Linked DNA regions of Xenopus tropicalis. The protein of the gene in region 1 purifies or fractionates together with the protein of each later gene. This does not show direct contact. Links are inferred from orthologs where the notes say so. Each region holds a gene or a part of one and is shown on either strand. Other genes may lie near its edges.

Region 1 (4,548 bases):
AGGGTTACTCCGATTTTTTCCAATCGTGCTTTTTTTTCTAGCGAAAATTTATGGTTTCATAAATGGGTCCCAATAGATTATAGATATACAGACATAGATTATTGATAGATAAATAGATAGATAAAAGATGATAGATAGATAGATAGATAGATAGATAGATAGATAGATAAATTGATAGATAAAAGATTATAGATAGATAGATAGATAGATAAATTGATAGATAAAAGATTATAGATAGATAGATAGATAGATAGATAGATAGATAGATAGATAAAAGATGATAGATAGATAGATAGATAGATAGATAGATAGATAGATAGATAGATAAATTGATAGATAAAAGATTATAGATAGATAGATAGATAGATAGATAGATAGATAGATAGATGATAGATAGATAGATAGATAGATAATAGATAGATGATAGATAGATGATAGATAGATAGTAGCAAGCTATCAAGACTTAAGGAAAAATGAGAAACAGATGAAAATAGACAGACATATGGAACAGGGGGCATTGCTTGCCTGAAACCCCCATGCTCAGTTCACACATCACAAACCGCTCCCCCCCCCCCCCCATCTCTCAGTCCACTCAAGCTCTTGCTGCTCATTCCTACCAATCAATCCACCTCTGATTGTGCCCCACCACCCCAATTGCACCCAAGGCACGTGCCTCTGCTGCCTACCCCTATCTCTGGACCTGCAATAAATGACAGATAATATCAGATAATGCAGGCATATCGGGCAGCTGCCCAGGGCCCACGTCTCGAGAAGAGCCAAGATTGTCTAGATTATCTAGATTGTAAGCTCTACGGGGCAGGGACCTTTGACTCTTAACTTATTGCAACTGTATCTTTTATTTATTGTTATACTTTGTATTTATCTCTTATTATCTTAATAACCCCCTGTTTGTATTAATGTATTCTACTGTACAGCGCTGGGTACATAAGTAGCGCTTTATAAAGATATACATACATACAAGGGACAAAGGTACTTCTGCACTATTCAGCCATGAAGCTTGGGGGGGGGTAGGAAGCCTCAGCTAATAGCAAAGGTGGCCATACATGCTAAGATTTTTCCCTCCCTAACGACCAATTTCACATTTAGCGATTTTTCATCCAACATTGGTCAGAAAATCCATTGGGCAGGTTTGAAAGCAATAAAATTTGTCCATTGTCCAATTGTATGCAGGGAAATTGTCATTTTCAAACCTGCCCAACTAAATCTGGGCAAGCCTTCTTATTGCAGCATGATGAGGACAATGTATGGGATAAATATACTGATATTGCGGTCTTTGAAAGGAATAAAAAGGGCCCCAACATGACATTTTCATCTGCCCCATCAACTAAGATGCATCTCTCCCTTCACACATCACTTCATAGAATGGCCCCTCCGCCATACCATTCACATAACATACCCAGCACAGCAAGAAGCAACTATATATGTTGCCTCTGCTTTATAGTGCTTCGGGTAAAACTTTATTGACTTCACAAAAACATAACAGAGTTCTGTTTTAAACTCGTTTATCCGGTATTTTAGCCGTCGCTACCTTTCCTCCTAACCACTCCCCCTCTGGTGTGCGTAATGGTTTGTCCCGAGTGCATATAAAGGGCTGCAAGTTCCCCGCCTTAGCACAGTGCGCAGCGGAGGTGATATATCGTGGTTACTAGGCGGTACTTGGAGAACATCAGTGATACCGCAACATGGCCACCAACGGTAAGGAATTACTTGACGTTCGCCCTTTGTACTCGGCTGCTAGTTTTGATATTTTTGTTTCGCGCTAGTTGGGGGCTGTGTATGTATAGTCGGGCATAGTGTATAGGCTTTAATATTTGTTATATGTCTTAGGGTGCGAAGCAAAGTAGTACTCAGGATTAAGATACGAGATCTGCTCGTTCTTTGGCGCCATTTTGCCTTATGTGTATTTTTCGTTGTTTCTATGTATCCGGTATCGCGGATATGTTACTATGCGTGCATCTTGTAGGCTTTCCCCGTTGTATCGGTCCCGCCGCTTCTTGGCTCCTCCCACCATTGTGCTGAATGCGCAGCTGGCAGCCATTTTGTAGCCGCACTGCGCTGCTTTCGCCATTTTGTATCCGGGCGGGCTGGGCGTGTGGGGCACTAATGCGTGGCATTCTGTCCGGATAAACCTTCCCAGAAAACGAGTGTTTTGTGTAGTAACGTTATAAGAAAAAAATCTTGCCTCTGGAAACCATTATCCGTGGTTTAGGGGGAGGGAATCAGTATATTGGTCAATTGCCCACAGGGCAGAACATGAATAAGTCTCTGTAGGGCTGGTAAATGGCTGCAACACTGCTGCCTGGGGGATCTTTAAGCAGATTTAACTAGTAAAGTAAATTCTTGGCTGAGACATAGGGTAAGAAGCGGGTAGATATATATATGTGTGTGTGTATGTGTCTACATATATATATATATATGTGTGTGTGTGTGTGTGTATGTGTCTACATATATATATATATATAGTATACAGGGAGGAGCACACCCTATACAAGTCCAAATGCCCTTGGTGCAGGTCAAAAAACAAAAATATAATAGAAAGAGTGCCGCACACATAGGGACTTGATACAAAAGAAAAAGTGGTTTTATTGAAAAAATGCCAACTTTTCGAGCACAATCTGTGCTCTTCCTCAGTTGGTTTGTCCCTGAGGAAGAGCACAGATTGTGCTCGAAACGTTGTAATTTTTTCAATAAAACCACTTTTTCTTTTGTATCAAGTCCCTTATATATTATATCCCTTATATATTATATATATATATATATATATATAATATATATGTGTGTGTGTGTGTGTATATAGATAGATATATAGAACAAAATAAAGCACACCCTTAAAGAATTCAAATGCCCAAGGTGCTGGTGCCTGCACACACAGGGACTTTACAAAAAATCACAAATTTATTAGAACAAAAAAAGTCCAACGTTTCGAGCACCTACTGTGCTCTTCCTCAGGGACAAACCACCTATATATACACATATATATATATATATATATATATATATATAATATATATATATATATATATATACCGCACTCGCAGGACTTGGTGAAAAAATAAGATACCTTTATTGTGAAACCACGTCAATCTAACGTTTCGGCCGGATCCTCAGCCTTTCTCAAAGTATATATATATATAACAGTGGGCCGCACACACAGGGACTTTGCTGAAAAAATAATAAATTTATTTAAGAAAAGAAATCCAACGAAACCTGGGTGCTAGTACCAAAAAAATGCACTGGAACAAGGCCGGCACTCCTAATATTTAAAGAATTGTGAGCAGTGTAAATATTGAAAGGTTATTACTCAACGTTTCGGTCTCACACAAACCTTCATCTTCATCTGGAGAAAGCTTCAACCTTCACTCCAGATGAAGGTTTGTGTGAGGCCGAAACGTTGAGTGATAAACCTTTCTATATCTAAATTTTGCTCACAATTCTTTAAATCCTAAGAGTGCTGCCCTTGTTCCAGTGTGTATATAATATATATTTTACCCCGCCCCCCCACCCAGGCTTCTTGTATAGGAAACTATGGACCTCAGTGACCTTGTTGTAGTTCCAAGGCCATTAAAGGGACAATAGAGACTTGTGCCCTGTAATTCCATGCACTGGTCTTGATTTAAGAAAAGATCCTGTTTTAATTTAGTGTTGGGTGTGGAAGGAAAGTTTTCCTCACAGGGATTCACTATTTTTTTGGACTATGGCCTGATAAGACTATAAACTGGCCATACATGGGTAGACTTAAGCTGGCCATATATGCACCAACAATATCGTACAAAACCTCGTTTCGTACAATATTCGGTTTGTGTGTATGGCGGCTCGACGAGGCACCCGATATTGCAAAAGGCTGCGGATATCTGTCGACTTGTTGATCGGCCAGGTTAAAAGATTTGTCCGATATGGAGGTAGAAACAATAGAAATTCTACCCCCTTCTGCCCTGAACTGATTTTGCTTTTGTACCTTCAACGGTACCCAAGCAAAATCTAAGTTCAGGGCAGAAGGGGGTAGAATTTCTATTGTTTCTACCTCCATATCGGACAATTCAGCCCTGAACGTCTGTGGACGATCTTTGGTGCGACCGATGGCATTGATGTGCCCCTGTCTGGCCTTAATTATCCAAATAAGGGCCAGAATATCACAATGTAGTTTTGTATGATATTTGGCCTGTGTGTGGTAAGTTTTGTACGATTTTCAGGCTGTGTGGGCTCTACATTATCACCACAATCATTTTTGTACCATGGTGTTCGGTTGTTTAGTCGATCGGACAGGATAAAACATTTTGGTTGGATAAGGATAAAATCTGTGCATGTATTGTGTATGTGCCGATATCCTTGGGGGGCCTACAATGGGAGTCACTTTCATACGGTTGGTGTCTGCCAACTATTTCATGCCCAGAACGCCCTCTGATATATTTTTAGGATTTTATCCTATAATTTCAATCTGCATGTTCGTTTTAGATCGTTGCATTTAAACATACGACCGATATCCGAACGTTCGTCTGAAGACTAAAAACTGTACGTGTATGGCCACTT
Region 2 (3,917 bases), on another chromosome or scaffold:
CATAGACAATACTGAGAACTGCCTCTGCTAAAACACACGTAGAGACAATTATCAGTAAATGATCAGCATTGTCTATTTTTGTAGCCACGACAAGTAGCTGCTACTGGTAGCTCTGTGTGTCTTTACCCTAAGGGACACATGGAGCTACTTGGTAGCAGCTACTTTTTCACGTCTACTAAACGCCAGAAAATCCCCTGCCATAGACAATACTGAGAATTGCCTCTGCTAAAACACATGTAGAGACAATTATCAGTACCTGATCAGCATTGTCTATTTTAGTAGCTGCTACTAGTAGCTCTGTGTGTCTTCACCCTAAAGTAAGCAGTATGGCAGTTCCTGCATATAAAGCTTAGTACATACTTAGCACAGACTAGAGTTAGTATGCCTCAGGGTCACAGTGTGAGCAGTGGTGGGACCCCCCTAGACTAGGGGCTAGGCCCTTTAATGCTCAGTGTTACTCTGTATAGAGCCGAAGGCTGACAGTCCTATCTTGCTAGAGCAGGGGCGTATTAATAGGAAGGGCTGAATGCTTTTATTTTCCTGGCTTGGAAGCCCAACGCACGTTGCTCTTTGTCTGCCGCGGCGTCGATAAAATAACATCAATAATTAATGCGCTCTGCCTTTGAAGCCGCGCTTGTTATTTCCCCCCATGTGCTTTTTCATCTGCCGTCGGAGAAAAGGAGCAGCTTGTTCCAGATACGCCCGGATCTCTCCATAAGGAAACAGGCTGTTCCATCTCTTCTCCTGCCCTAATTTAGTACATTTAGTGTGCCGTAACTGGGCTGAGCAGCAGGACCGGCCGTGTAATTAACAGTCATTTCACTCTGTCTGTGAGCAGCTAATTTTATTAAAGGGGAACTGTTGCCAGAATAAAAACATACGCCCTACTGTGGGGTTAAATCCTTAAAATACATACATGACTTAAACTATTTATAGGAGAAGGAAAGGCTAGTAAAGAGTTAATCCCAAGCTGCAGGCATACCTTCACTTCTCTCAATAGTGCCCTTAAGTCTCCCCGTATTTCTCCCGACCAGATGATCAGAAGCCAAACAGGAAGAAAAAACGCTGAGCTCTGTAAAGAAATTCCCATAATACCTCACTCCTGTACCAAGACCGGTGTACATGCTCAGTTAGTAAGACTATGAGGAAGCTTCTGATTGGCTCAGATCCACCTTTCTAAGGGGGGGGGGAGGGAGCAGGAGAGGGGAGAGCTGTGTGTCTCTGGCAGAGGAAAACAGACACAACAAATCTTTTGACAGATTTTATCTGCCTTTTATCCATTGCCTATTGTATGTATAGTAACCTTCCTGCATTAAACATAAAATATGTACTTCCCTTACAGGTTTGCAGTGATTGGATCTTCTCCCTGCAGTGATGTCCACCCCAGACCCTCCAATGGGGGGCACTCCCCGGCCTGTACCTTCCCCCGGGCCAGGGCCTTCTCCTGGAGCTATGCTAGGCCCCAGCCCAGGCCCCTCCCCTGGCTCTGCACACAGCATGATGGGACCAAGCCCCGGGCCACCTATTCCTCCACAGGGACCTGCTGGGTACCCACCTGAAAATATGCACCAGATGCACAAGGTGACTAATGCCACAACGCCTTCCTTTCCTATACAATGTTACCATTTTTGAACTTCTGTAACTGTTCTGTAACCTTTTCTGACAGCCAATGGATTCCATTCATGACAAAGCAATCCCTGAAGACCCCCGATACAATCAGATGAAGGGTATGAGCATGAGACCTGCTGCTCACTCTGGGATGGGGCCTCCACCCAGTCCTATGGACCAGCACTCTCAAGGTATGTGCAGCCGGGTACCACAAAGACCCAAACACAAAGATTTGGATCTAGCACTGGAACCCATCACCAAGTAATCAGATCCATCTCCCCATTCCTGAATAGCCTGTAATCGCAATGTCTTTCCTCTCCTGCAGGATACCCATCACCTCTGGGCAACTCTGAGCACGTGCCCAGCCCTGTACCATCTAATGGTCCTCCCTCTGGCCCTCCGATGCCTTCTGGGCCATCAGCGGTGAATATGGAGAACTCGGACCCACAACAGCAGACAAGCCGAAGTCCTACTCCCTTCAACCAGAACCAGCTGCACCAGTTGCGGGCTCAGATAATGGCTTACAAAATGTTAGCCAGGGGGCAAGCTTTACCCGACCACCTTCAGATGGCAGTGCAGGGAAAGAGACCCATGCCTGGGATGCAACAACAGATGCCAACACTACCTCCACCTGCTGCTTCGGGGACTGGCGCTGGTCCTGCCCCAGGCCCAGTGCCCCCTAACTACAACAGACCTCATGGTAAGGCCCTGGAGGGATGAAGGTAAGCTGCTTAATGTATATTAATGCTTTTATTACAAGTTTTAACATTTTTGTTTTACTAGGAATGGCTGGTCCTACTATGCCACCTCCCGGCCCTTCAGGAGCTCCACCTGGAATGCCTGGCCACCCTGCTGGTGCTCCACCTAAGCCTTGGCCTGAAGGTACATCTTGTAATTGGCTGAATCAGTTGGGGAATGTTTGCGCTAGGCCGTACAGATGTCTTAACCTTGTATCCCACTCACAGGTCCCATGGCTAATGCAGCTGCCCCTGCCACTGCCCCCCAGAAGCTGATTCCTCCACAGCCTACTGGCCGCCCTTCCCCTGCCCCTCCGGCTGTCCCACCGGCTGCTTCCCCCGTGATGCCTCCGCAGACACAGTCTCCAGGCCAGCCGGCTCAGCCTCCTCCCATAGTACAGTTTCACCCTAAGCCCAACCGCATCACTCCCATACAGAAACCGCGAGGCCTGGATCCTGTGGAGGTGCTACAGGAACGGGAGTACAGGTGAGATCTCTGATGTGACCATGTAGTGCATTTGGGTTTGCTTAACTCTCTTAATATCCATCGTAATAATATATTGGCAAAAGTAAAAACTGTAAGATATTACTCTAGATACACAGAAGGGGGTTGTGTAAGATATTACTCTAGCTTATATGGCGTATGGGATCCTAATATAACTGCGTGACATGGTTTGCCTTTGCAGGCTGCAGGCGAGAATTGCACACAGGATCCAGGAACTGGAAAATCTTCCTGGTTCTTTGCCTGGAGATCTAAGGACCAAAGCCACCATAGAGCTGAAAGCTTTAAGGCTTCTCAATTTTCAGAGACAAGTAAGTTCTTCCCTTCTGTTGTAGCAGGACGGGCGGAGCATATTCCCCTTTCATCTAGTGTTTTTAGCCATTATTAACATTTATTTATAAAGCGCCAACATATTCTGCAGCGCTGTACAATAAGTGGGTTAGCTATAGCGTTAAACATGATATTAAAGGGGTAGTTTATCCTTTAGGTTAACTTTTAGTATGTAATGGAATGGCTTATTCCTAGCAAGTTTTCAATTGGTCTTTTTAATTATTTGCCTTTATCTTTTCCTACTCTTTCCAGCTTTCAAACAGGGGTCACTGACCCCAGCAGCCGAAAAACTATATTGCTGTGTGAGGCTACAGTTTTATCATTATTACTTATACTCTATTCATATTTCTGTCTCTTTCAAACCACTACCTGGTTGCTAAATTAAATTGGAACCTAGCAATCAGTTAGCTACTGAACTTCCACATTGAAGAGCTGCTGAACAAAGCAGCTAAATAAAACAAAAACCACAAATATAAAGACCAACTGCAAATTGTCTCCGAATAGCATTCTCAACATCATACTAAGTTTATTTTAAGGTGACCAACCCCTTTAAGTGGTAGTTTAACTATAACATTGTGCAGATACATGCTGAGACAACTGCTCTTCACAGTTTCAGCAGTTCCATTCTTTTCCTAGGGTCCAGTTTACCCTAGAGAGAGAAGAGTAATAAAAACTAGCAAAAAAATTGTAGCCCTACTAACTGCCAAGGATAGTAACCACCACTCCCTCCCCCTTTTGGA
Region 3 (4,527 bases), on another chromosome or scaffold:
TCCCTTCTTCAGCCTTTCAATTTCTGTATAAATTAATTTGGATGTTTTTATTATCTTTTAAACATTTTAGCACAACTGAGCAGTGGCAAGAATTTCAACCTCTTTTTTGGGGTATCCCCTACTAAAAGGCATCACAGCATAAAACAAAAGTGCATAGAGTGAACAACATTTTGTGTAGAAACCTACTGCCAAGTATATTTATTCTGTGGACAATCACAAAATCTATAGAAAAAAAACTTCATTTAATACGGGTATAGGACCCCTTATCCGGAAACCCGTTATCCAGAAAGCTCTGAATTACGGAAAGTCCGTCTCTCATAGACTCCATTTTAATCAAATAATTCAGAATTTTTAAACTGATTTCCTTTTTCTCTGTAGTAATAAAACAGTACCATGTAATTGATCCCAACTAAGATATAATTAATCCTTATTGGATGCAAAACAATCCTATTGGGGTTAATTAATGTTTTGATTTTTTAGTAGACTTAAGGTATGGAGATCCAAATTACGGAAAGACTCCTTATCCGGAATACCCTTGGTCCCGAGCATTCTGGATAATGGGTCCTATACCTGTACCAGGCAATTTCCACCCAGCTTAAAAAAAAAAAAAGACCAATTCCATCCATTCTGCGCAGAAGGATGGAATCCTCCCATCACCATGCTTATGGGGCAACATTTTGCCAGAAAATAAATCTTTTGCACTTTCTTGCCAAAGCCCAACAAATGCACACAGTAACAGGAGGATAGCATTACTTTAAGTGACTGCACAAGTGGGGCATATTGACATCAGCCTTACTAAAGGATGGACAAGAGTTCACCAGGGCTACCCTAAAATTGCAAGAAAGCTTCACTGTCACTGACAAACACTACTAATGCATTTCATTCTTATCCTTCTGATCTACCACCCCCCAAATCTGAACGGGAATACCCAATGCACAATAGAAAGAACAGAAATATAGGGTAATCTGCAGGGGAAAAAATAGCTACAGCCCTTCATTTTAAAACACAAGATTTGTAAAGACCAAGGAGTCGTGTGAGGATAAAAAAAAAGAAATCTGATTGGTATTATATAGACTTCAAGTTTACTTCTAAGTCTGTATTGGTATCGAGGCTACATTTGTAAAATTGAAACACTACATAGGAATAGTCGATCATTTTTTTTTTTCAATCATGCAAAAGACAACCGCACAACTAAGGAGTAAATGCATTATATTAATGCAGCTTATAACTAGGAAAAAATAAGCAAATGAAATCTTTGCCTTAAAAAAAGTCTTGGTTCAAGCCTTTGTGGTCCATCATAAAATCAAAGCACCCCTAGCTTCAAAAATACATGACAAATACTAACCATACAAATAAATGAAACTACTGACCAATCGCCATACTTCACTTCCAAACAGGTATTGCAAAGCAAACCAGTTTTTACACATATTGTAACCCCCACACAGTCCAATGCTTTAGCCAAACATATATATAGATCCTTTCATACAATACAATTGTAATCAATGTTAAAACTTTTCAGTTACAAGGACTGTTGGAAATGTTTAAGAAATGTTAAACATGTTAACATGTAGCAGAAATAAATTCTCTCTTGCACATACAATGGGGTTTATACCCTGACCTCCTCTAGACAAAGAACAGCTGCCAACAGAGGGAGGAAATCGTCAGTATCTCTCACAGAACAAAGAAGCTTTTATGTAGAAACCATGGGCAAACAGTGCCATTTGGATCTCATTCCCTTGCTACATCACAGAACTGGTAACACAGCATATATACATTGTACAGATTACCACAGCAGGTCACAATAAATGTACTCACAAGACAAAAGATATGAAACAAGCAGCTGCCCCCATATCTACTAATTTCCAAACAAATAAATAGGTAACCCTATTAATTTGTTTGTAGAACCACATGGTGACTCTACCTAAGCTGATCAGAAAACCCTGCACTACACTGATGAGCCCCAAGAAGGGCAAAACCGGTCTGTAGTTGGGAATCTGATCAGCTATTGTCCTGGCTTCAGCTTCAAACCCAGTGGGTGAGCTGTAGCCTACAGGATAAACCCATGTAAATGGGATTTTTTTTTTTTTTTTTAAGAGTCTGGAATTCATTACCAGAATTCCTTTTGTTTACTAATTTCCAACAAATTATTCATGTTTCCTAAAGAATAAGGACACAGCACCTTTTGCTATGTAAGGGATATATATTCTAATAAAGGGTAAACAGAAAGGCTGTGGGGGTCTGACTGAAGGCCATACAGTGTGATTTGGGGACAATGCATTTTCTCCATCAGATACTTCACGTTTAACATATCATTCCCTAAATATTTCTGAAACAATGATTATAAGACAACGCGGACTTCAATTAAAGGGTCTGGTCTTAAAAGGGATTTGGAAATGACAAAACAGTATCTAAGTCGGCCTGTATTGCACCCATGGGTTACACTGTGTGTAGCATCATACAGGGATATGCCTATGGGAAACCCAGTAGCAGCAACATTCGGAAGGCAGTCCCCCAATTTGTCTAACTTCGAACAGCAGCTGCAAAAACACGGCCGTGGGGGAGGGTTGGTCGACAAACCAGACACTGATCCACAGCATGCAGTGAGCTCAAAGCCGCCATTATTCTTTGCAACCTAACACACGCCACATGGCCAAGCATAGCAGGCCCGAATGCATAAAGGTGTTTTTACTCCAATCCTACTACCTAGGCCCCTGGCCTACTCCCTTTGTCCCCCTCACGCCAAACCCTTAAATGAATACACCCCGCCCGAGCCCGACTCACCCTTGCCCAGGAGGCTCATAGCGTGCGTGAAAGATGGGTCCAGGCTGTCCTTCTCAGCCATCAGTTCGGGTAAGTATTTGGTCTCGGTCTCCATGTTGCTCGGTTCGGTGTTACTGGTCGGCAATACGCTCAGTGCTGGTGTCGATAAGAAAATCCGCTCGCACTTGCACGGCCTCAACAAAAGAAGAGATCGTAGCTAGCACCGCCCACCGGAAGCAACGTAACACCACCTGGGGAGGGGAGAGCGAATTAAAACTGCGCGCTAGGCAACACGGGATTTCCGCTCCCCGTACAAAGAAATGAGACTTGAATGAAAGCGTAGTGTATTAAACATGGATTCTGTGTTTTGGATGGCTAGATACGTGACAAAAGATGGCACGTTGTTTCTACGTATAATGGAGTCTGGCTTGTTACTGTAAGACCGTAGCTTAATGTGACTTACACTGTAGGGCAGGGATCCCCAACCTTTTTTACCCGTGAGCAACATTTCAATGAAAAAAAAGCTGGGGAGCAACACAAGCACAAAAACTTGCCTAGTAGGTGACCAATAAGGACTCAGATTGGTTAATTAGTAGCCCAGTGTGTACTGGCAGACTACTAAAGGCTCTGTTTAGAAGTACAAATGGTCTTTATTCCTCCAAAACTTGCCTCCAAGTCAGAAATTCAAAAATGGGCACCAACTTTGAGGCCACTGGGAGCAACATCAAAGGGGCTGGTGAGCAACATGTTGCTCAGGAGCCACTGGTTGGGGATCACTGCTGTAGGGGATGAGGGGGGGCACAGTTGTAAAATCAAATGCCCGTCATTTAGAAAGGTTTCATGTTCTGAGTTTAGAACTAATTCTGGCTCCAAAAAAGAAACTTGCACGTGTGTAGATACGTTTCAGTGGCCTTGTAGCTGTAAATGTGTTCTCTTTGTATGTGTTCACCTATAAAGTATGAAGAATGAGACTACAGTAGAACCCCCATTTTAAGTTTTTCAGGGGGCCAGAAATAGATGGCGCAAAATCCCTGATTTTACATTTTCCCAGAAGTTTATTATTTATTAGTGGGACCAAAAAACGATGGTGTAAAATGCAGGAAAACTTAAAATCAGGGGATGTAAAATTGATGTTTCACTGTACTTGGCTGTGTGGTGTAATGCAAGTCTATGATTAGGAACCCTGTGTACCCAGAGAAAGTATTTATTTTAAGGACCTTGGTTCCTCCTTTTACTGGTAATTATATGGGCTAATGTGTTGGACATCTTATGTTCATGGTTATTCAGTTACAGTATATTCCCTAATTACTTTTGTCATTGCAAAAAAGGAGGTTGGCCTTTTATATAAGCTGATGCTGCATGGCTGATTATTAAAATCTGATAATTGCACTGGCTTTAGAGCTGCCATGTAGTACCGGTAATCATCTGTATTTATTACTAGTCAGCCTTATATTGTGACATTTATATTGTGTATGTAGAGTATATTGTGAGCCACAGAGCTGTCAATCACCCTTGTTTTATCGGGAGTTATCTTGGTGGTTCTCCCCCTGGTCTCCCATCCCCCAATAGCATTCTCCCGATTTTAAGCAAACCTCCCCAAGTCTTGTAGTGAACTCCAGCCCGCGTGTGCAGTAAGCATTCAATGATGTCACCTGGTACAATGCATCATCCTGCGCTGGTAGAAATTTTCGACCGCACATTTTTTGCGCATGCTTGTGAGGTTACTTCCGGAGTATGTGACTGCAGCTGCCTAGGGGGAAATAGTTG
Region 4 (4,469 bases), on another chromosome or scaffold:
AGCGCCTCCATTCCCCGCACACAATGGGCCTCATTCCCTGCCAATTAATGGCCGTTCCAGGCCGCTGCCTTCATGCAAACTCCTCTCATTCCTGCGTCAGTGTCGAATGAAACATGACTGAATAAGCACTTACTATTCATATAAATCCCCCCCCCCCCTCTTTATATTCCGACGGATTGGGGGGGGCTGCGCTCAAATGCAGAAATTGGGGGTTTCAGTATATACACATTGCCCGGCCGGGATACTAACTGCACCCTTGGCTCCTGTAGCTTCGTATTCATTCCTAAATAACGGCAGGATGGGGCCCAGCAGTGTAGCATCTGCCCCCGGGGCAGTTCTGCAGGTTGCAGTGAATATGAATAAAACCTGGGGGTAGGTACTAACAGGGCGGAAGCTGCCGTTGCTCCCCTGCTGGGACATTGTGTCTCTCAGTAGCACCAAAAGGTGTGTGCGGATCACAATAGCACAGGGCGGAGTCCTGTTGGGGCAGATTTCAATGTAAATACCCCTGAAGGAACCTCATGGGGGGGATGCAGCAGTAACATATCTATGTTAAAGGGCTAGTTCCCCTTTAAATGAACTTTTTTTTTGTGGTTTTTCAGTTATTTAGGTTTTTGTCCTGGAGCTCTTACTATGCACCTATGCGGTTGCCAGGGTCTTATTTACCTTAGCAACCAGGCAGTTGTTTGAATGAGAGACTGGAATATAAATAGGAGAGGGACTGAATGGAAAGATAAGTGATAAAAAATAACAATAATATTGTAGCCTTACAGAGCAGTAGTTGTTTTTTGGTTGCCGGGGTCAGTGACCCCCATTAGAAAGCTGGAAAAAGGCAGAAGAGACTTGTAAGATGTTTGTTGCTATTACAGTGTTTGTCTGCTGCCCTGCTGGTTCTGACTTCTGAAGCAATGTAGCAGAAGCCAACAGATTCACAGAGCTGGAGAAGGAATTGACTGCTGCCACACACTGTATTACAGGAGTCAGAATGGGAAAGGCTGTGGGGTAACTACAGGAACAGCCCCCCCCCCCCATTACTTGTATCTCCCCAATAAACCCTCACAGACTTGCACATTTTTCATAAACAAACTATTTTGTGAGAGTTTTTCCACCATTGTTAGCGCCATTTCTTTACAGGGCGATACAAATGCAATACTGGAAGTAAAAATACCAGCAGCCATTTTGTCCAGGCGTTGTGTTGGTTGATTATAAATAAAGTTTAGCGGGAAAAAGTGGAATCTGCCGCCATTATGGAAGTAGCGTCCTGTGTGGGCGGGCTTACTCCGCCTTCGGCGATTGGTGAGTGTCCCCGTCCGTCACAGCGATGCGTTTGCCGAGCGGGTTTGGATAGGTTGTCAGACGCCGAGAGGGAGGGAGTTGACTGTTCGTGATGCTGATTGGCTGTGGAACCGGTCGTTATAGCCAATAGGAAAGCAGATTGTTGGTCTAGTGTGGCTGTATCGAGGGCCGAGAGGTTGTCCATTGTGCGGGAGTGTGAGGAACGAAGATCTGAAACATGAGGTGCGGGGGGTTCGGGGGCCGAGTGGGGAGCTGCCATGGGGATTGGGGGGACCGGGAGCGGTGCCGGGTTTCCTTCTCGCCTTCCGGGGCCTATTGTGGGGCACATTGTGTGCTGGGCTCCGGGGGGCCTGGTCCTACTGAGAATAGGATAGGGGGGCTCCGGGGGGTACTGTACCTAATATATAGGGGGGCCCTGGGGGTACTGTACCTAATATATAGGGGGGCCCTGGGGGTACTGTACCTAATATATAGGGGGGCCCTGGGGGTACTGTACCTAATATATAGGGGGGCCCTGGGGGACTGTACCTAATATATAGGGGGGCCCTGGGGGTACTGTACCTAATATATAGGGGGGGGGCCCTGGGGGGAACTGTACCTAATATATAGGGAGGGATAGGGGGGCCCTGGGGGGAATGTACCTAATATATAGGGAAGGGATAGGGGGCCCTGGGGGGAATGTACCTAATATATAGGGAAGGGGATAGGGGGGCCCTGGGGGGACTGTACCTAATATATAGGGAAGGGATAGGGGGGCCCTGGGGGACTGTACCTAATATATAGGGAAGGGATAGGGGGGCCCTGGGGGGACTGTACCTAATATATAGGGAAGGGATAGGGGGGCCCTGGGGGGACTGTACCTAATATATAGGGAAGGGATAGGGGGGCCCTGGGGGGACTGTACCTAATATATAGGGAAGGGATAGGGGGGCCCTGGGGGACTGTACCTAATATATAGGGAAGGGATAGGGGGGCCCCTGGGGGGGACTGTACCTAATATATAGGGAAGGGATAGGGGGGCCCTGGGGGGACTGTACCTAATATATAGGGAAGGGATAGGGGGGCCCTGGGGGGACTGTACCTAATATATAGGGAAGGGATAGGGGGGCCCTGGGGGGACTGTACCTAATATATAGGGAAGGGATAGGGGGGCCCCTGGGGGGACTGTACCTAATATATAGGGAAGGGATAGGGGGGCCCTGGGGGGACTGTACCTAATATATAGGGAAGGGATAGGGGGGCCCTGGGGGGACTGTACCTAATATATAGGAAGGGAAGGGGGCCCTGGGGGAACTGTACCTAATATATAGGGAAGGGATAGGGGGGCCCTGGGGGACTGTACCTAATATATAGGGAAGGGATAGGGGGGCCCTGGGGGGACTGTACCTAATATATAGGGAAGGGATAGGGGGGCCCTGGGGGGACTGTACCTAATATATAGGGAGGGATAGGGGGGCCCCTGGGGGGACCTGTACCTAATATATAGGGAAGGGATAGGGGGGCCCTGGGGGGACTGTACCTAATATATAGGGAAGGGATAGGGGGGCCCTGGGGGGACTGTACCTAATATATAGGGAAGGGATAGGGGGGCCCTGGGGGGACTGTACCTAATATATAGGGAAGGGATAGGGGGGCCCTGGGGGGACTGTACCTAATATATAGGGAAGGGATAGGGGGGCCCTGGGGGTACTGTACCTAATATATAGGGAAGGGATAGGGGGGCCCTGGGTACATGATCGGATAACAAATATTGGGCGCTGGATGTTTGAATAATGATATAGTGATAATAAATGAGTAGAACACAGAGGGTCATACAGTAATAAATACAAAGTAGTTATATTAGAGATTAAGAGCTAAGTGTCCTGTGACGCTTACAATCTAAGGTGCCCCCCCCCCCCCCAGAAATGTACGTATTCTAAATTGTTCTACTTTTCTTAGGGGTGAACGAGGACGTGGACGTGGCCGCTTTGGCTCCAGAGTGGGACCTAACACAGGGTGAGCTGCCTATTGTAACTACATACTCCCGTCAGTCGCTCCTGGGTGGAAATGTGATGTAGAGGGTAATGTTCCGAGACAGCTTGCAGTTGGTCTTCATTTTGTATTCATAGTTTTTTAATTATTTACATTTTTGTTCAGCAGCTATCTGGTTGCTAGGTGGGTGCTAAATCACCTTAGCACCCATGTAGTGGCTTGATTAAGAGACTGATCTATGAATAGGGGAGGGGCTGAATAGAAAGATAAGGAATAAAAAGTAACAATAACCATAAAACTGGAGCCTCACAGAGAAGTTTTCTGGCTGCCGGGGTCAGTGACCCCCATTTTGAAAGCTGAAGAGAATAAGAGGAAGGCAAATGATGAAAAAATAATAAATAAATAATGAAGACCAATTGAAAAGTTGCATTGAATTGGCCATTGTATAACATACTAACAGTTGCGTGTAAAGGTGCAGCCCCCCTGACTCTGTGCCATAGGGTAGCCATATTCCTTATTCAGTAGCCACATTGTGCAGTGCAGGTACATGTTCTCTAATGTAAATATGACCCTTTTATTCTTTCTCTTACAGTTTCAGACCCTTCGTCCCTCACATTCCCTTTGATTTCCACGTGGTAAGTGGCTTTTCCTTCCCCCCACATTCTGTACATGTATATATATATCTATATAGATAGATATATCTTCTCTATCCTTGTGCTTACATACTGACTTACCCTTCTTTTCAGTGTGAAATGGCCTTCCCGCGTGTGAAACCCGCCCCCGACGATAGCTCATTCAGCGAGTCACTGCTCAAACGAAACCAAGATCTGGCCCCCAGCACAGCCGAGCAGGTAGCTATATGCTTCCCTTGCCCCCCACCCCCGGCACTGTTGCCTCTGCCCATATTCATTATACCCTTTGTGCTCTCCCCCCACCAGGCCTCAATCCTTTCTTTGGTCACCAAAATCAACAACGTTATCGACAATTTGATCGTAGCCCCGGGAAACTTTGAAGTGGTAAGTTGCTACGTCTTTAATACGAATAATGTACCCCCTACTGTAAATGATAAGGATATTAGCAGTCACTGAGGGGTTCTGTGCCCCCCATATAAAGGCACAAGGCTGCAGGCTGAGTTATACAGGGAACTCTGAGTATCACTCATGTATTATAAGGGATAATGTACCCCCTACTGTAAATGATAA
Region 5 (4,594 bases), about 40 Mb from region 1:
TCAAGGCAAGTCGAAATTGCGGCGCCACGTATGCCATCCCACCGACAATTCACATTCAAGCCGGTGGGGTGGCATATCGCGGGCGACTAATCTCCCCGTCTGCCGTAAATAGATAAATTAGTTGGATAAGATTCCCATTGTATTTGCTTATTTGTTATCTGCTTATGTAACCTGTGCCTTTCCTCCCTTTTCAAGTCTGTATGGGAAAAATATGAGATATATAGTATAGGATAGGGCAACAACAACATTACTGACATTTCTTTAAACAAACAAAATTATTCAAACTTACATCATCTTGCTCATTTGCTGCTATAGATGTGACATATCCAGTAAATCTGCTATCACTTCCACCATAAATTTCTTGATCATAATATCCAGTAGAATCAAGACCAACTCCTTGTGTCTCATCGAGGGCTACCTTCTTTCCTTGAATTTCACGTATCTGTGCTTCAATATCTGATTGGAAAAATATATTAAAATATTTAATGGTACATTAGTTTGTTAGCAACTAGAAACCAGAGATAAAGAAAAGGTAACAATTTAAAAAAAAAAAAACTCACAACAAGCTTGCAAACAGCTCAATGCTAATAATTGATATGTAAATTAGGATAGAGTCTCAAAAAAAGAAATTCTAGGAAATTTAGTATAGGACAAATTTATATTAACTTTGGATGGGAGAAGACTAAGTTTAAGTTGTTTTTTTTTTTTTTTTTTAAGGGTATGCAGCGCTGTACAATCTTACAATATAAAATATTACACACAGGGAGGACAAGTGTTATTTATACAAGTATAAATACACAGGGAGTAAGTGCCATGTGGTATGAGACACAGTAGGAAGGAGGTCCCTGCCCTGAACATCTCACAATCTAAGCATGTAGATTATACATAACCCCAATTTTGAAGACACTGTGGTTTTCTTGATATGGTGTCTTAATTTGGATCTCCATACCTAAAGTCTACTAAAAAAAAAACACAGGATTTTTGTGCCTCTAATAAGTATTAAAGGAGAACTAAACCCTAAAAATAGTAGTAAACTGACTGCACTAGTCAAAAGTTTCAGCATCTCTATAGTAGCAATGATATAGGTCTTTACAGTTGTCACAGGAGCTTCTCATCTTGGATTCTGTTAGAACTGTCCAGGACAGTGCACATGCTAGGGCGGCTGTTGAGAAGCTAAGCTGAGGGGTTGTTGCAAATTATGAAGCAGAAAAAAGGCTGGCCTGTCATATAAACTAATGCTATAGGTCTGGTTATTAAATTCTGCTGCTAATTGCACTGTTTTCACAGCTGCCATGTTAACTGAATCCAAATGAATCACTAATCAGCCTTATACCGTTACATTTATATTGTATATATACAGTATATTGTGCGTCGGTCCCCAAGCTCAGTATCTGACAGCAGCACAAAGTATGTGCAGGGAATCAAGAGAATAGAAGATGAGGGGCTACTTTATAATTTAAGAGAAAAGTAGACTTTTAAAAATTTGAATTTTTTTAAAATTAATTCTATGGGTGATGGTCTTTTTGGATAATGGTTTTCCAGGCAATGGATCCTATACTCTCTAGGCTTGTTGTTTCAGATATTTCACTCACAAACAGAACCTACAGTATGAAAACCAAGGTCTTTACTTGTATACTAAAACAAATGTGTTAACAACAGTGGCGACAAACAGGCACCACCATTGTACAGCCTTTTTACATTGATTCGTAGTAGAGGAAAGTTCGAAAATTTACCTACACAGGTAGGGGATATCGGATTGATCTGATCATTTGGCTCTAGGCCCAAACGTTCAGATCACATTTATGGGATGCAAACAGTCGGGGATTGCATCAACAACCATTGCACTCCTCCCCCTGACTGGGTTTTTTTTTTTTTTTTTTAACCTCTCTGATTGAAATCTTGCCCAGATATTGTTAGGGCAGTCCTGTCTGAGGGCCCCATACACGGGCCAATAAACTGCCAATGATCAGCAGCTTTTTATCCCTCATGCACCACACAGGTCAGGCTATCATTACTTGCTATTTTCCCTGACCTAGGAGAGCAGGTAAATACCTTAGTTATCAATGTTGGCCAGATCAGTGTTGTGTTTCCTGCCACCCTGAAAAAAACAGTTTACTAAGAGCGGCGACAAATCTCCCCACAATGCCATCCCACCAGCTAGAATGTAAATTGCCAGTGGGGTGGCATACATGGCGCTGCAATTTGCTAAAGTTGCCTTGAGAGGAAACTTCGGCAAATTGCGGCGCTGCATATGCCATCCAGCCAGCGATTTACATTCTCAAAGGAGAAGGAAAGGCTAAAGGGGATGGGGGGCCCTTTCCAGGGGTACAAGTTAAGCAATTACAATTACTGGGGGGGTACCTAAGATTTAGCATCCCCAATGATTTAGCCATTCTTTCTCCTTCAAGGCAATTCAGCCTTAGTAAATAGGCACATAAGGCAATTCAAACTGTATGGTTAACTCCAGGTCAACAAACAAAATGATCAAACGGACTATTTGAAGTATTTTATCATCAGCCCACTGACATCTGAAATCACTTGGGCAACTAAACACGTTGAATGTCCTCGCATTCCACTGCTCTTCCTTGCCTTCTACACAACCAATAGAAACGTTTCGCCTCCAAAAACAAACAAAGGTTAGTACATTAAAAGACGTTCTCTGACCCTCCGTCGGGTCCACAATAAAACAACAGGTCACCGGAATTCATAAATATATTACAATCTTAAAAGGACAGAGTAACCGAAATCCTGTTTGTTTTAATCCAACTCCATTGACTATTCGCGTGTGCACAGAATTAATAGCCAGTAAGGCCTTCTCACGTTTCCCGAAAGTTTATAGATTCATCATTTCATGTATACAAGGCTGACTTACTAACCGAAATTACAAATTATCCCTTTCACCGAAACATTAGTATTCTATTCTTACCTTCGTGTGTTTTCGCAATTTTCGCCATTTTGTAAAACCGTAAAAAAGAGGCAACACGCCACCAAAGCTCCTCCGTAGGTAACTAGGCGCATGCTCTGTTAATACGTAGAATAATGGGCGGTCTCTATTGGTGGCCGCCCAGAAGCGTCACAGAATGTTTTTATGCTTTAGGTTTCCGGGAGTAAGATCCTGCATGGTGGGAGTACGTTTTGTGATCCGTAGGTTTTGTACCGTTATTCGGTACCGTGAGCGACGTTATAAATAGTAAAATTAAAATGCATTATATTTTCAGCAATACGTCGCAGCATTTTACAGTTAGTGAGGCTCTTACTTGATCTCACCTCTTACTTACACTTACCAGGTAATTTTTGCGCAAAGCGGTGGGTTCATATAGGTTAGCCCCACCACAATTAAAAGGACATGAAACGGAAATATATACAGTCCGAAGCAGCCCCGTGTACGGTTGAGATTCTGCTGAATTGGCCGTAGTCCAATTTAGTAAAGGCCATGATGCGCTCTTTGCACTAAAGTATAGTTGCGCTCAACACTGTTTTGTTGCTTTCGTCTTCTGTAGTTCGCACAGTGGTACCCACTGATGCAGGGGAGACCTAGATCTACATCACCTACGCCAGCATTTGAAGGACTATAAAGCTGCTGTTGGGTCATTAATTAGATACTTCACCCAGGGCCAACTCTCCATCTCTACATGCCCAAAATAGATTTTCTACTTTTTGTTACTCCTGTCTCCTTTTCTGTATTTTGCACAGTGACGCCCATTGATTCAGGGGAGCTCTGAAGCTACACCACCTCCAAACCAGCTGATAGTGCCAGGGTTACCACACTGGCCTGTTTAAATCAAAGCAGCAAAGTTATGCCAAAAGAATTTCAGCATTTGTTTGAGGGATAAAGTTGCTGTTGTGCAAGTGTACAGCTTGCAATAAGTTGGCTCCAGTCAGTTATGTAAAAAATCCCATTTATTAAAGGTCATCATGATTGCCTTGCTGATCAGATTCTGCTAAATTGGCTGTAGTCGGTTATGCGCAAAATCCAATTTAGTAAAGGCCATGATGCGCTCCTTGCACTAAAGTATAGTTGTGCTCAGCACCATTCTGTTGCTCCCATCTTCTGTAGTTCGCACAGTGGTGCTCACTGACACAGGGGAGCCCTAAAGCTACATCACCTATGCCAGCATTTGTTTGAGGGACTATAAAGTTGCTGTTGGGACCTTAATTAGCAACTTCACCCAGGGCCAACTCTCAAACTCTACATCCCCAAAATAGACTTTCTACTGCTAGTTTGTCCCCATATCACAGTCAGTCCTTCAAATTATTGTTCCCCAGTGGTTTTCTCTACTGCAGGGTTTTCCTCTTCCAAGTCTTCAATGATGACTGAAGTATGCCCCACCCAAGATACTACAATATTGTAAAAGCAGTGTGTATTTTTATAATTTCTCTGATCTTGATCAGTTCTTTTCCTTAGGGTGCCCTAATGTAAGAATAATTTGGGCATTTTTATCCCCAGTAAAAAGTTCCTGTTTGACCAGTGTGATTCTCAAGGGCTGATGAGGAATGTTCCCTTTAGGCTATATCCCTTTTGGGGTCCTGGCACTTTGTGTGCAGAACTGACAGAAACCTGCACACTTTGAATCAGGACCACAGTAAACAAAGA
Region 6 (4,407 bases), on another chromosome or scaffold:
ACTGTGAAGTGTATACACATCAGTCTTTTAAAGTGGCTGAGTGCATAGCTTGCCTGTACATTTAGAATTGCCATCTGTCTGCAAATGCATTTGCACATATTCTGTGAAATGGCAAAATCCCTGGTGTGAGGCATTCCACAAGAAATCAGTTCTACTACAAGGTTCACTCCAAATTAAATCATGCTTTCCTCAATAAATAGTTAAGGTTCAAAACCCAACCACCCCCTCCAAAAAAAAAAAAAAAAATAAAGTGTTAAAATGGCAGTAATTACTTAGATTGGGGATTTTATGATTGGCTTCTGCTACACTTCATAAAGTCAGAATTTTTTTTTTTCCAGCACCCAGACAGAAGATGCTCTTGAAGAACTTAATGGGATACTGTCATGATTTTTATGGTATACGTTTTATTTCTAAATTACACTGTTTACATATCAAATAATTCACTCTACCATTAAAATTTTATTTTGAACCAACAAATTTATTCTTTAGTTGTAATATTGGTGTGTAGGCACCATCAGTGCATTGTGCCTGAGTCTGAGCTTTCAGAAGGAGCCATCGCTACATATTAGAACTGCTTTCAGGTAACCTATTGTTTCTCCTACTCCTTTGTAACTGAAGTCCTAAGCCAGACTTGGATTTTTTACTATTGAGTGCCATTCTGATATCAACCACTTACAGCAGCATGGGTGTCAGGTAGCTGCTATCTTTCTACTTCCCCGTTATTCTGCTGCTGTGGGGGGTGGGGAAGGAGGGGGGTGATGTTATTCCAACTTGCAGCGCAGCAGTAAAGTGTTACTGAAGTTTATCAGAGCACAAGTCACATGGCTGTGGTACCCTGGAAATAAAGAATATGGCTATTCCCATAAGAAATCTGAAAACAAATTATTAAAAAAAAAAAAATAGATTTCAATGCAGGATTTTCTGGAGAAACAGATGTGTTTTGAAAACATTTTTCCCATAGTAGTACTCCTTTGTTTACATAGACAAGCGCCTATACTGTAGCAGCACCTTTAGCTGGGAAAGAAACAAACAAGAACTATAATTAAAACAGCAGGTTACCTGTCACCCATTTCATCCACTGAATAAGACTGGTTTCCATACGAGTCCATACTTCTTTGGTTATATGAGCCGTATTCTCGATCCATTTCTGAAAAACAAAAATGTTCCCCAATATTAAATATCTGAGCAACATAACCAAAACCATTGTAACATACAACAAAAAAATGATGTTACGTTTTGCAGAGATTTTTTTTTTTTTTTAAACCTGGACTGGAGTAGGTGGTAATGGATTACATTCAATAGGAGTTTGATGCCGTAGAAATTAGCACCCCGTATTTATTTTATGTTTTGTTATCCTATATAGCCAAGGCTTGCAAGTGTAACCCAAGTGGGGTCCTCAAATTGAAATTCTATAATCTGACTGCAAACTATAAAAGGAAAATATACCCTCTTCACCTCTTGTATCGGTTATTGATTGCTTTATATGTTACTCTGTATGTCTAATGTATGTAACCCACTTATTGTACAGCGCTGCGGAATATGTTGGCGCTTTATAAATAAATGTTAATGTAATGTAATATACCCCTTTTTAACATTTAAAAAAAAAGAGAACACTTTCTACCCTGCCAAAAACAAACATGAGAGAGCACGTATGTTTACAGCTCAATCCTTGTTCCACTGTGAAGTGATGATTAATCTAGGACTTGAAGTTTCTCCGCATTGTGTGGCGCACAGATTCTTTCAAAAAACAAAGGGACTTCAAGTAGCAGAATCTATCCCTTCACAATGGAACAAGGTGAGGGGGGGGTTGAATGAAAGTGTGAGCCCAAGGGAAGGGGGTAGGAAAATGGGCCCTGAGAGCTCAGACATGGCCACCATTTTATTGCATTATCTATTTATCTATTTAAAGAATTCAGATAGTGCTTGCAAACTTTACATAGGCCCAAACAACTAAGCTCACGTCAAAAAGCCGTTAAATTCCCAACAGGGGGACTGGCACCTTCTACAGAACAATTCTCAACAAAAACCTGCAGACATCTCAGCCAATAAGAGTTCAAGCAGCTCCAGTCAGGGAGGCAAAGTGTGGGCCAGTCATAGCAGAGAAAGCCACAAACCTATAGGTGTATTGTACCAAAAAAAACCACATACCGTGTAAATGGTCCTATCACATTACTTTTAGAAGACAATGGAAAGGATTACTTTGAACTCTATTCTACACATATAAAAGCTATTTTTCAATCTCTCACGTCTCTAAGCAAGGCCCAACATTGCCTGTTGTGTTTAATGGAGCTACACAGCCATTAGCCTCCCGCACAGTGTGCGTTTAGCCACAAAGACCCGGCTGTTTCTAGTAATGGTGGCATTGCCACCAGAAGTAAATGCTTTACGGACACGTCTTAGTCTTTCAAAGCCAAACGAATGAGATGGGCCTTTCCAATATTCCCAATACACACACAGAGCGGTAAGTGCGCAGCCTGTAGCCAAAGGCCGGCGTTAGTAGTATGGTAGGTTCTGCTACGCTCACACCTTTCCCCACAGAAGAAAAACCTGAGAGTATAGAAGCGCTTGCAGAGCTGCGCACAAACTGCACAAAGGCGCGAATCAAACAAAGAAGCCGCCGCCATGTTACGTGAAATGAGCACCGGCCTTCTGCTTCCTTACAGCGGCCTTACCTAGGAAATATGTCCTCACCTTAAGCGCGCTGCACACGGAACACGTTTGTTGCTGAGAGGGTAGAACGCTGCTCGGCCTCTTGCTGCCCTGAACCCCTACTAACACCGACACTCACACAAGCCCGGGTTCTGGAACAATGAAGAAATGGAGGACACGGGACGTGACGTCAAAGCAATCACAGGGTCGCTTTCATTGGCTGGCAAGAAATGTGTCGTCACGTCATAGGGGATGGGCTATGTAGGTTAACCCCCTCGCTTTTGAAATGTACAGGGCCGGTGGGCGGGTTCCAGCCCTGCAGCTGCGTAGTAAATAGAATGGGCACGTTATTTCCGGGTTCCAGAACTCAGTCACTGAGAGGCGTGTCATTCAAGTCTACTTCACTAAGTAGCGCTTGTGCTTTCAAATAAATCTGCCTGTTTTTTTACAAAATGTGGCTGAATGTGAAATAGGAAGTGCTTTTATTTTGCAGCTTCCTGGCTGGTTCCTTAGGATTGTGGGATGAGAAGAAAAGAGTTAAGCAGTCCATGGATTAAGCTTTTGCATAATAATGACCTACATACATAATGAACTCCTCCTGTGTTTAGAGCTGATGCCCCCTTCAGCCTGGGGGGAAGCACCTCTAATACAGGCAGGGGAGTAGTGAGAGGAAGGAAAGGCAGGTTATAGTGGATTTAATCATTAGGAAGGTGGATAGGGCAGAGCTTTTAACCTTGGGAAACTGTCTTCTGGGGGATCCTAGAGTGCATTGCTGATATGATGTCATCGCACATGTTCAAAATGAGTGTGATGTCACAGAAAGCTCACTGCGCCTGCGGTAGATGTAAAAGCCTATTAGGAGGCCGTGTTGTAGGTGGGATTTTTCTAACTTCCAATTAATCAGGTTGCTTGCGTGGGGCTAGGGTTCTGCATGGAGTGGAACAAGTAGATATATTATTGGGAGGGGCTGGGGAAGACCCAGGGGGGGTATGTCATAGCCCCCTAATGTAAGTTAGAGAAAGAGGCTAATCTCATACCTCCCAACATTTTGAAAACGGAAAGAGGGACAAAAATAAATGCTGCGCACAGCGCAGTGAATTTTTTTGACCATGCCCATTTTGCAACCACACACTCCTATTTGACTAAATTTGACAGGTTATTTAAAGTTTGAACACATTTCTGGGGGTTTTGGGGTCTTGTTTTATGTGTTATTACAGTTTTGCTGAAAAAGGTGAAATTGCCCTTTAAGCTGCAAGTCTCAGTTCCCCCAAGAGACCAGTTTAACTTATTAGTTACAATTGTATCTCAGTGCAGGTGGGGATTTTTACCTTTCTGGGCTCTCTGCCAAAAGCTACTTATTTAATTTACTGTGAGAAACAATGTTTCTAAGTGCAGGTGATGCTGGTTAAGATTTCTGGGCTCTATGCCAAAAGCTACTTTTTAATTAAAAATGAGAAACAATGATTCTAAGTGCAGCTGAAGCTTGTTTAACTGTCTGGGCTCTTTGCTAAAAGCTACTTTTAATTAAATTTGTATCTTTTTTTAGATTCAGTGCAGGAGATCAAAGGGAAATGAGGAACTTTTCAGTAAGAATCCAGGACTGCGGGTTGAGCTGTCAAAAGTGGGACTGTCCTGCGAAAATCGGGACAGTTGGGAGGTATGTAATCTCCTGTTGCAAATAGTAAAGGCTGCTAGTTTGGGGCAGGTAATGTTAATTGGGGGTTTAACTACCCTGATATTGACTGGAGCAATAGTACT
Region 7 (3,917 bases), on another chromosome or scaffold:
CATAAATATAAAATGAAGACCAATTGTAAACAGTGTCAGAAGATCACTGTCTGCAACATACTAAAAGTTAATTTATAGGTGAACAACCCCTTTAACATTTTAGCTGTTTGACTTTGCCTGTTAGGTTGCACTAATATGTGCACATTTTGTTTATAGCTTGTAAATGCTTTAGTTAAATGCATCATGTTTGCTGTTCCATTGCTTGTGAGGAATTGATCCTGACTGGGCAAAGTTGTACACAGAAGCCAATCATCTTGGTGACACTGCTCATGTTCAGTGTGCTTTGGCCTGTTGTTGAGAAGGTGGGCTTAGGGATCAGCAAAAAATCATTGATGGTCTCTCACTGTTCTTACTTTTGCAGATTTTTTTGACAGATTAAACCTCAGTAGAAACTGGTCTAATTATTTGGCCAGAAGATAAGAACATAAAGAAATTTGCTTAGAGCTGTTCCCGTGCCTCTCTGAATGTGGTTTTTATTTGTATAGATGCATGGATATTTGGCACATTACTGTACAGAATCGGCCCTGGTATGGCTGCCTTTAATCTGTACAGCTGACTATGTGTAATTTAAGGCTGTAAGGGTGCGTATTGGCTAAGCAGGTGGTGCGCATAATGAGTGAACCTGGCTGTCCACACTGGGAGCTCCCACTCTGTGTAGGCGACCTAGTGCCAGCGAGGGCTATTGTTTCCACCCAACCACAGTGTGGGCTTTATTAGCCCTCACCTCTGGTGGGAGAAGACATTTCATTGTCATAGGTGTCCATTAAGTGGCCACAGAACTTATTTTGCTCTTGGTTGGCATCGGCAGGTCTGCTACAGCATGGTCTTCAAGTTTATTTGTAGCACTGTAAATATAAAGCATTACGAGGAAGTGCTGACATATGCGTGGGCTTATCTGTTAGTATAGTGCTATAAGCAGGAGTTTTTTAAATTTGACTGTATTTAGGGCAGCTTTATTAAAGGTCTGCTTCTCGTTAGGGCCCTTTTACACAGGGTGGTTTATTGTACTACCGAAAATCCCGTTTGCGAAAATGCATAAGGAGGTATTTTGAAAGAGATTAATTTTCTATGTGTCCGGGACCTTAAATACTTTGTCTTTGGTTTCTGCTTAATAAAATACTCATTACAAATTGGTATTGTCTATTTTTTATGCACCTTTTAATAATTGCATTTCAGAACCAATTGCTGACTATATAAAACAGTCACTTGTTAGATATTATGCATTATCAAAAAGTTATATTGATAGATAAATAAAAATTACTTTTTGCCAGTGAGAGATGTTTAGTAGCCCACATGTACTGTCTGTAGACACAATATATGTGCTGCAGCTTAGTATGTCACTTGGCCAGCAGAATGTTAGTACAGGTGTGGGACCTATTATCCAGAATGCTCGGGACCTGGGGTTTTCTGGATAAGGGATCTTTCCGTAATTTGGATCTCCATAACTTAAGTCTGCTAAAAAAATCATTTAAATATTGAATAAACCCAGTAGGAAATCAATTTCAAAAATTAAAATTATTTGCTTATAATGGAGTCTATGGGAGATGGCCTTTCCGTAATTCTGAACTTTCTGGATAATGGGTTTCCAAATAACAGATCCTATACCTGTAGTGACAAATATGTCTGTGCTTACCAGGACAGCCCAGGTAAACGTAACCCCTCATACTTTGTGATAATGGTTGGGGAGGATTTTGTGAAGCAAAACCGGGTATGAAGAGTTTAATATTGCTTCTGAAGCTTTTAAGACATGCAGGATACTAGGCTGTTTGCAGAGGGCATAATGGTGATGTGGGTGGTTGACAACATTTTAAAATAATTTTAGTAAATTGAGTATAGAGCTTTTTGAGCTGTGAGAAATTCTAAACTGTACATTGTAGTCTTATGAGGTTAGATACATGCTCGGTAGTGTCGGTGTTCATTTGTACATGAGAATGGGCTTGTGTACCTGCAAACAGACAGCATTACATTAACTGTGCCAACAATACAGTGCAAGGTATATGAGCTGTGCGTGTAATAAACTTCAGAGCCGAGTCAATAAAAATTGCTGTTATTTAAATGATAAAAAGGAACCCTATGGCCATGGAATCCTTATAAAGGTCATCTGTCAAGATTCCTACTAGGCACCTGGACTGGTAGTGTACTAGTGTCATAGATACTCTTCTCTTAATGACTCGATCACCAATGTAATATTCTGGATGTACACTACTGAATGACATAGTACCCTGCAACTGTATTCTGCTCTATTATACCCAATCTTCCAGAGCCATATATTGGCCCGTAACTACAATGCTGCAGGTATGGTCTGCAAAGTTGAATAGCAGTCAGCGGCTCTATATTGTTGTAAAGTCTCAATGGCAAGGTGGCCAGTAACTATTTGTCCAGATAAAAAATCCATTGCAAAGTGCAGAGCACAGCTTTGGCAAATGCAGGCCAGTCCTGTCTTTACCAACTGCCATAAATTAGATGGAAAGGAAAGGGCCCCAGTTGAGAACAAATATCTGGTTGCTGGTCACTAGATGTGGGCAAACTTAAGACTTTTTATATATATATACATTTTTGATTATAGATAATCTTACCTGTGATAATAACACAAATTGTTTTTCAATCCCTAGAAAAGACAGAGATCGAGAGAGAGATGACCGATCTAAGGACCGGGACCGTGACAGAGATAGGGATCGGGAAAGGGACAGAGACAAGGATAAAGACTCACGTGGGTCATCCAATTCTACGTATATTACAGCTAGTGGAATGCCACCTCTAAAACCTGCAGCGGTTGCTCAAGGCATTAATCCCTTTACCAACTTACCCCACACTCCGCGCTACTATGACATCTTAAAAAAGAGGCTACTGTTGCCAGTATGGGAATACAAAGAACGGTTTACTGAAATTCTTATGAAGAACCAGAGCTTTGTATTGGTTGGTGAGACTGGATCTGGGAAAACTACTCAGGTATTTTATTTTGCCTGCATTTAGCTTTTCTGGCAAGGATTATTTTTGTGTTATACAAATATAACAATAAAGCAAACTGTATATTTATTTCAAAGAATAATTATCATAGAATGAAGGTGGTCCCTGCTGCATAGACCTTACAGTCGGTGGTTAATATAAGGGCACACATAGTATAGTAATCAGTACTGTTCTTCACATTGGGTAGGGCATTAACCCATTATTAGTCAGATTTTCATATATTTTGTTAGTGCTCTAAATGTAGTTTGCAGTAGTCTAGGTGGCATAGGATAAGGGGATTGTTTTAAGGAATAAGAGCAAGGTTTTAGTTTAGGCCAAAGACTTGAGTGCTTGTCAAATAGCAGAAGGTAGTGAAGAGGTTAACCCAAGAAGTTTTTTGCGTGGTCAGTCAACACTTGGTATAAAAGTAGGGTACAAATAATATAACTATTGATTTAACATCTACTGTATTAATATAGAAATAGCATATAACCATCATTCCTCTGCCCCCCAAGCATCAAAATCCTGACTGGCACAGGGATTGTTTTAGGGTTGGCAGAAAGAAAGAGCATTAGACCTGGATCCCATCATCAAAACATAGAGGAAAATGTTAATTGTTTTAGTTTTAGTGAATACTGTGATGCTCTCCTATATTATCCTATCAGGGTCGGATTGGGGGTCTCCGGAGCCCACCCCTCTGCATGCCTTGTTGCTTTTGCACCCGTTGTGGGGCAGGAGTGCCAGGGTGTGCGACTGAGTCAGTGGGGCCCTCAAGGTGCTCATGGTTCCCAGCTGGCCCACTCTGACACTGTATCCCAGCATCTCACCTATAGATGGGACCACAGCTTTCCTGCATTGCCAGACACCTCCCCAGGAAATCAATGCTCTTTGCTTGTTAAGTAATCTGTGTTCTGTATAAACAGGCACCACACACTTACATGTTGATGTTTGAGATGGTATAATCAAACTCT

What was found.
Region 2: the proteins of fus (region 1) and smarca4 purify together in Homo sapiens (affinity purification with mass spectrometry; 3 studies listed by BioGRID, with this or other methods). This does not show direct contact. The link is inferred for Xenopus tropicalis from reciprocal best matches to the Homo sapiens genes FUS and SMARCA4.
Region 3: the proteins of fus (region 1) and khdrbs1 purify together in Homo sapiens (affinity purification with mass spectrometry; 3 studies listed by BioGRID and IntAct, with this or other methods). This does not show direct contact. The link is inferred for Xenopus tropicalis from reciprocal best matches to the Homo sapiens genes FUS and KHDRBS1.
Region 4: the proteins of fus (region 1) and ilf2 purify together in Homo sapiens (affinity purification with mass spectrometry; 3 studies listed by BioGRID and IntAct, with this or other methods). This does not show direct contact. The link is inferred for Xenopus tropicalis from reciprocal best matches to the Homo sapiens genes FUS and ILF2.
Region 5: the proteins of fus (region 1) and sf3b1 purify together in Homo sapiens (affinity purification with mass spectrometry; 3 studies listed by BioGRID and IntAct, with this or other methods). This does not show direct contact. The link is inferred for Xenopus tropicalis from reciprocal best matches to the Homo sapiens genes FUS and SF3B1.
Region 6: the proteins of fus (region 1) and znf326 purify together in Homo sapiens (affinity purification with mass spectrometry; 3 studies listed by BioGRID and IntAct, with this or other methods). This does not show direct contact. The link is inferred for Xenopus tropicalis from reciprocal best matches to the Homo sapiens genes FUS and ZNF326.
Region 7: the proteins of fus (region 1) and dhx15 purify together in Homo sapiens (affinity purification with mass spectrometry; 4 studies listed by BioGRID and IntAct, with this or other methods). This does not show direct contact. The link is inferred for Xenopus tropicalis from reciprocal best matches to the Homo sapiens genes FUS and DHX15.

Annotation. Positions count from the first base shown.
Region 1 is NC_030685.2:6,034,209-6,038,756, reverse strand, and holds the start of fus (RNA-binding protein FUS), read left to right. Parts: upstream 1-1,660; 5' UTR 1,661-1,703; coding exon 1,704-1,716; intron 1,717-4,548. UniProt on the Homo sapiens protein: DNA/RNA-binding protein that plays a role in various cellular processes such as transcription regulation, RNA splicing, RNA transport, DNA repair and damage response. Binds to ssRNA containing the consensus sequence 5'-AGGUAA-3'.
Region 2 is NC_030679.2:138,916,796-138,920,712, forward strand, and holds part of smarca4 (transcription activator BRG1), read left to right. Parts: intron 1-1,342; 5' UTR 1,343-1,374; coding exon 1,375-1,581; intron 1,582-1,666; coding exon 1,667-1,799; intron 1,800-1,933; coding exon 1,934-2,308; intron 2,309-2,391; coding exon 2,392-2,490; intron 2,491-2,573; coding exon 2,574-2,832; intron 2,833-3,031; coding exon 3,032-3,158; intron 3,159-3,917. UniProt on the Homo sapiens protein: ATPase involved in transcriptional activation and repression of select genes by chromatin remodeling (alteration of DNA-nucleosome topology).
Region 3 is NC_030678.2:86,520,749-86,525,275, reverse strand, and holds the start of khdrbs1 (KH domain-containing, RNA-binding, signal transduction-associated protein 1), read right to left. Parts: upstream 2,880-4,527; 5' UTR 2,876-2,879; coding exon 2,782-2,875; intron 24-2,781; coding exon 1-23. UniProt on the Homo sapiens protein: Recruited and tyrosine phosphorylated by several receptor systems, for example the T-cell, leptin and insulin receptors. Once phosphorylated, functions as an adapter protein in signal transduction cascades by binding to SH2 and SH3 domain-containing proteins.
Region 4 is NC_030684.2:144,160,343-144,164,811, forward strand, and holds the start of ilf2 (interleukin enhancer-binding factor 2 homolog), read left to right. Parts: upstream 1-1,458; 5' UTR 1,459-1,513; coding exon 1,514-1,518; intron 1,519-3,234; coding exon 3,235-3,291; intron 3,292-3,859; coding exon 3,860-3,902; intron 3,903-4,013; coding exon 4,014-4,118; intron 4,119-4,205; coding exon 4,206-4,283; intron 4,284-4,469. UniProt on the Homo sapiens protein: Chromatin-interacting protein that forms a stable heterodimer with interleukin enhancer-binding factor 3/ILF3 and plays a role in several biological processes including transcription, innate immunity or cell growth.
Region 5 is NC_030685.2:45,929,876-45,934,469, forward strand, and holds the start of sf3b1 (splicing factor 3B subunit 1), read right to left. Parts: upstream 3,047-4,594; 5' UTR 2,955-3,046; coding exon 2,927-2,954; intron 457-2,926; coding exon 290-456; intron 1-289. UniProt on the Homo sapiens protein: Component of the 17S U2 SnRNP complex of the spliceosome, a large ribonucleoprotein complex that removes introns from transcribed pre-mRNAs.
Region 6 is NC_030680.2:105,534,124-105,538,530, forward strand, and holds the start of znf326 (DBIRD complex subunit ZNF326), read right to left. Parts: upstream 2,907-4,407; 5' UTR 2,692-2,906; exon of another isoform or gene 2,673-2,691; intron 1,148-2,672; 5' UTR 1,146-1,147; coding exon 1,060-1,145; intron 1-1,059. UniProt on the Homo sapiens protein: Core component of the DBIRD complex, a multiprotein complex that acts at the interface between core mRNP particles and RNA polymerase II (RNAPII) and integrates transcript elongation with the regulation of alternative splicing: the DBIRD complex affects local transcript elongation rates and alternative splicing of a large set of exons embedded in (A + T)-rich DNA regions.
Region 7 is NC_030677.2:31,429,650-31,433,566, reverse strand, and holds part of dhx15 (pre-mRNA-splicing factor ATP-dependent RNA helicase DHX15), read left to right. Parts: intron 1-2,612; coding exon 2,613-2,949; intron 2,950-3,917.